Linked DNA regions of Arabidopsis thaliana. The protein of the gene in region 2 interacts with the protein of the main gene of each other region in a biochemical or structural test. Each region holds a gene or a part of one and is shown on either strand. Other genes may lie near its edges.

Evidence for each region.
Region 1: the proteins of YAB3 (region 2) and SPL form a complex in vitro, tested with the Arabidopsis thaliana proteins (one study listed by BioGRID).

What each region holds. Positions count from the first base shown.
Region 1 is NC_003075.7:13,681,619-13,685,552, forward strand, and holds SPL (sporocyteless (SPL)), read right to left. Parts: upstream 1,977-3,934; 5' UTR 1,842-1,976; coding exon 1,311-1,841; intron 1,212-1,310; coding exon 978-1,211; intron 889-977; coding exon 709-888; 3' UTR 460-708; downstream 1-459. UniProt on the Arabidopsis thaliana protein: Transcriptional regulator of sporocyte development. Acts as an adapter-like transcriptional repressor recruiting TPL/TPR corepressors to inhibit TCP transcription factors. Required for nucellus and embryo sac development.
Region 2 is NC_003075.7:73,711-77,644, reverse strand, and holds the start of YAB3 (Plant-specific transcription factor YABBY family protein), read left to right. Parts: upstream 1-2,068; 5' UTR 2,069-2,555; coding exon 2,556-2,669; exon of another isoform or gene 2,670-2,756; coding exon of another isoform or gene 2,757-2,777; coding exon 2,778-2,948; intron 2,949-3,217; coding exon 3,218-3,377; intron 3,378-3,934. UniProt on the Arabidopsis thaliana protein: Involved in the abaxial cell fate determination during embryogenesis and organogenesis. Regulates the initiation of embryonic shoot apical meristem (SAM) development.

The DNA.
Region 1 (3,934 bases), about 14 Mb from region 2:
CTAAAATCAATAAAAAAGCATCCCAAAAATAATTGATAAAATTTCATATTTTCTATAAATAAACAAAGCAAAATCAATCAACTTATAAAAAGAAGATAAACTCAAAATTCTCATTGGCCAATTTTTAAAGTAGTTTATACTGTACTAAATTTATAATTCTGATCCAAAACAAAACAGTACGTACCAAACACATGTATAAATTTTATAAATCGAAAACGAAGCTGTACATCCCATATGCTATGCAATGACATTAATTGGAAAAGCTATAAACAAGAGCAATTTGATACATTTATCTCACACCAGATAACAAGATTAATCAGATATGCATGACACCGTTTCGAAAACCGAGGATTAATTAGGTGATAACATGAATCATGACAGGATCATTGCCTAACTAAAGAAACACAAAATGGATACAAGCCCCAAGATCTGACACAACTTTAGAGAGAGAGAGGGAGAGAGAAGTTTCATGACAACAATTAAGGAAGAGAACAGAACATATATGTCTGAGTGTTTAGGTTAGAATCTCATAATAAACAACCAAAAGGGTAATCCAAAAGCTGAATCTTTCTTTCGACTCAGCTCTCAGATGCATACACCAAAAAAGGCTCTCTCTTTTTTTTCTTCTGTTTCTTACTTTCATCTACTTAAAATGTTTTTTCTTTAAAGAGACGATTTTGTTTAAATCAATATAGAAAGATAAAACATTTAAAGCTTCAAGGACAAATCAATGGTATTAGGACTGCAATCACCTACGAGTGACGACGTTTTAGCCACCACTGAAACTCTTTCACCATATTTCCCCGGAAAAAACTCGTACTCCTTCACACCTCCTGATCCATTTCTAGGGTTTCCTTCCATGTAGCTCCCAAATTCCTCCATTGGTCCCTAAACCCACCAGTTAAATCAAATAAGATCAACAGTTATATACATATATACCTATATATGAGTATTAATAAATGGACTATACTTAGTACCGTATGATTTGTTGCCTCGTTGAAATAAGGATTAATAGTAGTACTAGAAGCAGAAACTGAAGCTGCTCTAGCGATTCTATGATCATAAAGGAAACCTTGGCTCCTCTGATGATGATCTGATTGAAGAAGATACTGATCGTAGCCGTTCATCGGAGGAGGAATCATTGTGTATTTCGAAAATCCACCACCGTTGGATCGAACTACATTATTCTGATCACCATCCAAACGTTTCTTCTGCAGTTTTTTACATAAATAAAAATCAAAACTTTTTCAAGTGCAAAAACTATATATATATCAATCATGTTGATGAAAACGATTAAAAAACAAACAAACCTTGAAGCAAGTGTCACAGCGATTATTGGAAGAAGCGTTAAACATTTGAGGATTTGAGATTGAAGAGAGCTCATGAGTAGTGGAGGAGGTCTCAACAAAACCCCATGGAGAAATAACCGGGTCGATCATAACCTGACCCGACCCGACTCCACCACAATAGATCCTGTTGCTCCCGAGTGAGCTTGGGAAGCCTTGTAGCACAACACCCGGGTCTACCGGTACGGGTAAACGGGTAGCGTTGTTAGAGATCGATGCTACTGATGACGTGTCTCCGACTGTGGCGGCGGCGAGTTGCTTCTTTTCTTCTTCGATTCTCTGACGCTCGAGCTTTGCTACACCCATTCCTCTCAACGTTGGTTTCTTCTGTTTTTGCTGACCTGTCTTCGATCCTGGTTTCCGACCACGACTCTTCAGTGTCTCTGTCCGGATCTCGCCGGAGCTGTTGACGACAAGACGGGTGTTTCTCAGAAGATCGTTTGGGTTTCCGACGGAGTTTTGATCTGTTGACATGAAGAAGAGAGAAGTCGCCATTGATGATGATCTTCTTCTCGGAACTCTTTTTAGATAGAGAGAGAGAAGGGAAGAGGTAAAGACGAAAGCTTTAAGTGTGTGTGTTTTGTTTCTGCTCTCTTTTTGTGTGTGTGTATCTCTTTAGTGTTCATATACTAGCTCAGGCAAAGTACTTACCTGTGTTTTTATTTTCTGTTATTTCCAGGTACTATATGCGGATAAACGTATCTTTATTTCTTTTTTACTTTTTACCCCCTATAGTAGATTAAATTAAAGTATTTTTCAAAAAGATTAGTAAAGTATATCATAAATTCATAATACGTATTCTTATTTTATACTTTCTTAGTCTTATTAACCTTAGATGTTATAAATTCCCTTAGCACTTGCATGCATTTTTAACTTATGTGTGTATAGTCGTATAGATGTTCAATTTGTCAATATTAGTGGGTGTAAGTCAAGAGACGTTGAAAAAAATGCATTATTTGATGTTAATATGGTCATGAAAAGGAACAACTGAAATAAATAAAAAAGAGAGTTTGTAACTGAAAACTATGTTATATAGCATGAATGTATGATTTGATTGATGTTGTTATCCATGCATTGGATCGTGGAAGAAATTCAACATTATAGTATGATAGTTAGTTATCTTTGGTTCTGTCCATTAAATGGTATTTTTTATTCTTTCTATAATCTTCAATTACTCCTTAATTAATTAACCTACCTCTTAATATATAGAGTTTTGACTAAATAACTAGATATGGAATACTATGCTGTACATCTATAATACTAGTATCGGTGTAAAGAGTAAAGTGGGACGAATTCTCACTTTGCAACGAATATGATTAGTTTGTGAAACAGATCAAAGATATAATGATTTATAGTTTTTAAGAATTTAAAGGAGTAACAACAGAACAAGGTTTCAAATCCTTTATTTTCTTACATCTTTTGGGCGAAGAATGTAGAAAAAAAACAAAAACTCAAAGCTATTTATTTACTTGTTCCTGATAAAAAAAATCAGAGATTGTGATAATCCCTACCATGGAGACAGCAAATCGGAGATTGTCGCTACTCGCATAGGCTCAGTCGTGAGGTGAGAAACACTGTCCAATAGTAACAGCGCGTGCATCACATTGCAAAGAATATAGTACCCGCGGATCGAGGACAGGTGTCGGGACGTTAGACCATTCGCCGATTGTAGCGAGCAAGGTCTGGGACAACGTGATTTTACTCAGCTCATATCAACTAAAATAAGCAAGTCCAGTTACAGTCGCAGACTCGCAGTTATATGTATTTTTTTTTTCTTCAAAAACAAATTTTTATTTACTTTGACTAATGTGATATGTATATGAATATATGATAAATACGACGAGTAAGCTTAAAAACTCACTATACTTAGCTGACAAATAAAATACTAAATACAAAACGAAAATTAATATATTTGACATTTATTTGAAAAAGTTAGCTTTCGGTATTTGAAAAAAAAAATCGAGAGATAGTTATTGCTTCACATGAGAGGAGGACGAAAGCAAAAAGAATAGCATGAGAGACGTGAATTACGAGAAGGGTTTGGAGCTACGGAGTAGAGTAGAAATGATGGCTGCATCATATAAGGAAACATTTTAAAGCTGCCTCCATGTTAATCTTGGCTTCAGCCCAATACCTACTATTAGAAAATTTTAATTATCTTAATACAAAGTTTGTTTTATATGGATATTCTCAATACAAGTCTTAAGAGAAGCCCCACTGAAGTAATTATACATTACTATGTGTTGAGATTTCGTTTTTTTTTTATATAAATGAAGTAACCAGATGAGATGTTGTACATCTTAAATGGCTATTATATGATCTACGTAACCGTTGTAAATGTATACTAGCTAATAATAAAACGTACGTTGTTAAACAAAAAAGAAATACAAATATATTTAATTATTTCTCCATTATGTATCTTATTTTTTCTAGTTATCAGTATTTACTCGATTCCAAAGGTACTTCGAATTACCTTTGCTAAGTACGTTTTCTGAGTAAAGTTATCATATAACACTCAAATAACCTTTTTTACCCCCAAACAAAACAACTTCAATATGTATCTTCATAAGTTCATATATTTATAAAAC
Region 2 (3,934 bases):
GAAAACTCTATTAGGGACAATGTCCCACATCGGAAGTTGAGTAGGATCTTAAGTGGTATATATAAGATATGAGCCTCTCCACCTATTGCCAATTAGTTTTACGTTGGAAGCCCACAGTCTGATATGGTATCAGACCCCGATCCGCACATACTCAACCCGATCCACATCGGTCCGGCCCAATACTTGGCCCGCCGATCCATGCCCAAACATATCGAGATCAATGGCTAGAAGAACCATCATCTCGAGGGGGCGTATTAGGGATAATATCCCACATCGGAAGTTGAATAAGATCTTAAGTGGTATATATAAGATATGGGCCTCTTCACCTATTGCCAATTGGTTTTAGGTTGGAAACCCACACTCTAATATGGTATCAGAGCCTGATCCGCACATACTCAACCCGATCCACATCGGTCCGGCCCAATACTTGGCCCGCCGATCCATGCCCAAACATATCGAGATCAATGGCTAGAAGAACCATCATCTCGAGGGGGCGTATTAGGGACAATGTCCCACATCGAAAGTTGAGTAGGATCTTAAGTGATATATATAAGATATGAGCCTTTCCATCTATTGCCAATTGGTTTTATGTTGGAAGCCCACACTCTAATAAACTCAATACAAATACTAAAGTTGCAAACAACTATACTATATTTGCTTGAAGTTCTATTGTGATAGGATTTTGACTTACAAAAATCATATTCTATGTCTACACTATATATTGTGAAACCGGATAGCCATAATATTTACAAAAACTTAAACTAATTTCAGATATAAATAAATTTAAATTTCACTATGACCTAGTAATTATCACGAACAATTGGGAAGTTACCACAAAATGGTGGTCCTGTATTATGGAATTTAGCGAAACCACACACTTGCGGGTAAAAATAATGATGACAAAATGATATACATTGGAATGTAGAGAAAGTATATACAAATACTAATAAATAGAAAAGGGCATGGAATTGACGAGGATCGAGGGAAAGTGTGGTGTGGCAGAAATGTTATTAAGTGTGAAAACAACTGATGAATGAGCCTTTGCTTAATCACTTCCATGCACAAGTCCCTTTCCTCTTCCTCTCTCTCCCACTTCATCGAACTTTGCGTCCTTTAAAGAAAAGAAAAAACAAAACATTTTTCATCCAATTGAATTCAAACCGTAACCAGATTAGATTTAACTTCGTTTATTTTACATTATCTTCTTCTTCTTATTTTGCGGAGAAGACTTGTACAATGACCTCAATACGCTGAAGAGTTGGATTCACTGCGAGTGTATATGTGCATATAGAAACAAAATATCTAGCTATATGACCACTTTTAACTCTAAATATGGGTGTAATATGCCAAGGACTTTCTGGAGATCCACCACAACACACATTCAAGTTCAAGTTCTGCTGCTTTTAGGTCTATGAAAACAACACCAACCTTATTTTCATATTGTTCTCTCTTTATCTCATGCATAAGTATATTTTCATATTGTTCCCTCTTTATTTTCATGCTTTTAGTTGATATTTTTTTTGTTATTGTATTATCATTAGTGCGACGACACAAAGTCACAAACCATGTAACAAAATGCTTAACCAAAATAGAAAACCTTAACAATTCCAATATATTTTCTGTTATTGCATTATCAATTATCATCAAATTTTTTTCCACTGTTGCATTATCATCATTGCGACGACACAAGGTCACAAACCATGTAACAAAATGCATAACCAAAATAGAAAACCTTAACAATTCCAACTTTAACATGTGAATTAATATTATCTTAATTTTTGGATGTTCGACATTCAAATAAACTCCTAATTAAACCCTATAGATATGGTTAATCTTCTATACATGTGTCACGTACGACACTTATTAGCCAAATTGAAGTTTTGTTTTTTCCGCAAATATATAAGCGGTTTAAATAGTTGGTAAAAAAAAAAAAAAGTTAGCATGTTTGTCGTATGTACATGTTTGATGCTGCACAAATCTTGTCGTTATAAAACTTTGAAATCTTTATATCTATTATTCCTCACCGATCGGCTACTAATTCAATGGTACTTGATAATGATAATTAGTCCCAAAGTAGAGTTTTTATCTGATTATATAGAAACAAAGACTAGTTCCGGTTTGATATATAGAAGAAAGAAAAAGGATGGATAGGAATAATAAAGAAGATAAACCGGTTCAAAAGGTAGTAAATGAGAATGCAGGTATGCAGCTTATCTCTACAATGGCCTCTTCATCACATGTCGCCAATTTGTTTAGGTACAGTGTCTCTTCATATTTACATAAATAGATATCTCTCTCTCTCTCTCTCTCTAAACCACATCTTCCTCTCCACCGTTCTTTCTCTTCCTTCTCTCTCTGGACTTCAACTTCTGGAGAAGTACAAGACATTTATAAAGTACTGCTCATCACCCAACACTAAACACAATTGTCAAAAGGGTGTGGTGGAAGGAGAATCTACTTCTATCTGAACATCGATCAGTCATATCTTTTCAATCAAATCAAAGCCCTCCTCTCTCTCTTACTCCTTTTTTGTTTTAAATCAAGAAAAAGACTCCATGTCGAGCATGTCCATGTCGTCCTCCTCAGCTCCAGCTTTTCCACCGGACCACTTCTCATCTACGGACCAGCTCTGTTACGTCCATTGCAGCTTCTGCGACACTGTCCTTGCTGTAAATTTTGGATTATTCTTATATCTCATCTCAATATTTCAAATTTATAACTCTAGCTAGGGTTTCACATGAATTACTAGTTAATTAATGTGTGATATTAATTGGCAGGTGAGTGTTCCTCCGAGTAGTTTGTTCAAGACGGTGACGGTCAGATGCGGCCACTGTTCGAACCTTTTGTCGGTGACCGTGAGCATGAGAGCTCTTCTTCTTCCATCCGTTTCCAACCTTGGCCATTCCTTTTTACCTCCCCCTCCTCCTCCTCCTCCTCCAAATCTTTTGGTACATCGGTTTCATTCATCGAAACAAATTAGGGTTCTTTCATAAAAAAAACAGAGAGTAATAATTAGGGCTTTTCTTCTCGAGAAACGCAAAATTGTGAAACTCAATCCAAAAATGTTTAATTTTGTTAGCATCCCGGGATAGATCTAAGTAGTTTGGCAATGGCTAGTTAACTAGGGTTTCTTTCGAAAACATCATATCAAAGTAGTTTGGTTTGATTAGTGTTTTAAGTTTTTTTTGCCAATTAGTTTGCTGATTTCATTTATTAGGAGGAAATGCGAAGCGGAGGGCAGAATATAAACATGAACATGATGATGAGCCATCACGCTTCAGCTCACCACCCGAACGAGCATTTGGTTATGGCGACTCGCAACGGAAGATCAGTGGATCATCTACAAGAGATGCCTCGGCCACCACCAGCCAATAGACGTAACCTTCCATCTTCTACTCTTTATTTCAACATCTTCATATATATATATATAAGAAAACAAAAACCCTAATTCACAAAACCTTATCCATTCATTTCTTCAACCTTTTATATATACACTCCAAAGAATCTCGTTTGTTTATAATGAATTTATAAGTTTTGATTTCATTTTTGTTCCCTCGGTATGTGACTTCTCGCATGCACTTTTTTTTTGGTCAGAAAACAATTTCGACAACAAAAGGAAAATTAATAAGTGATGTGTTTATCCCCCGGAAATCTAGCTAAACCTATAGATGCCAACTGATATAGTTTTGGGGGTAGATCGTAAGAAAGATAATGATGAAGTGATGATGATAACGAGCAAAGTGAGAGGGAGAGGGAGAGAGAGAAAGGAGGAAGAGTCGAAGAGTGATTGTTTTTTTTTTTTTAATTGTTTTTTTTTGGTGAATTTTTAGATTTTTTGGGGAGGCACAATAAAAACCAATAATGTTTTTTTTAACAAAAGGGTTTGATTTGGAATTAAAATTGAATATGTTCTGTTTGTTTGTTTGTGGAAAAG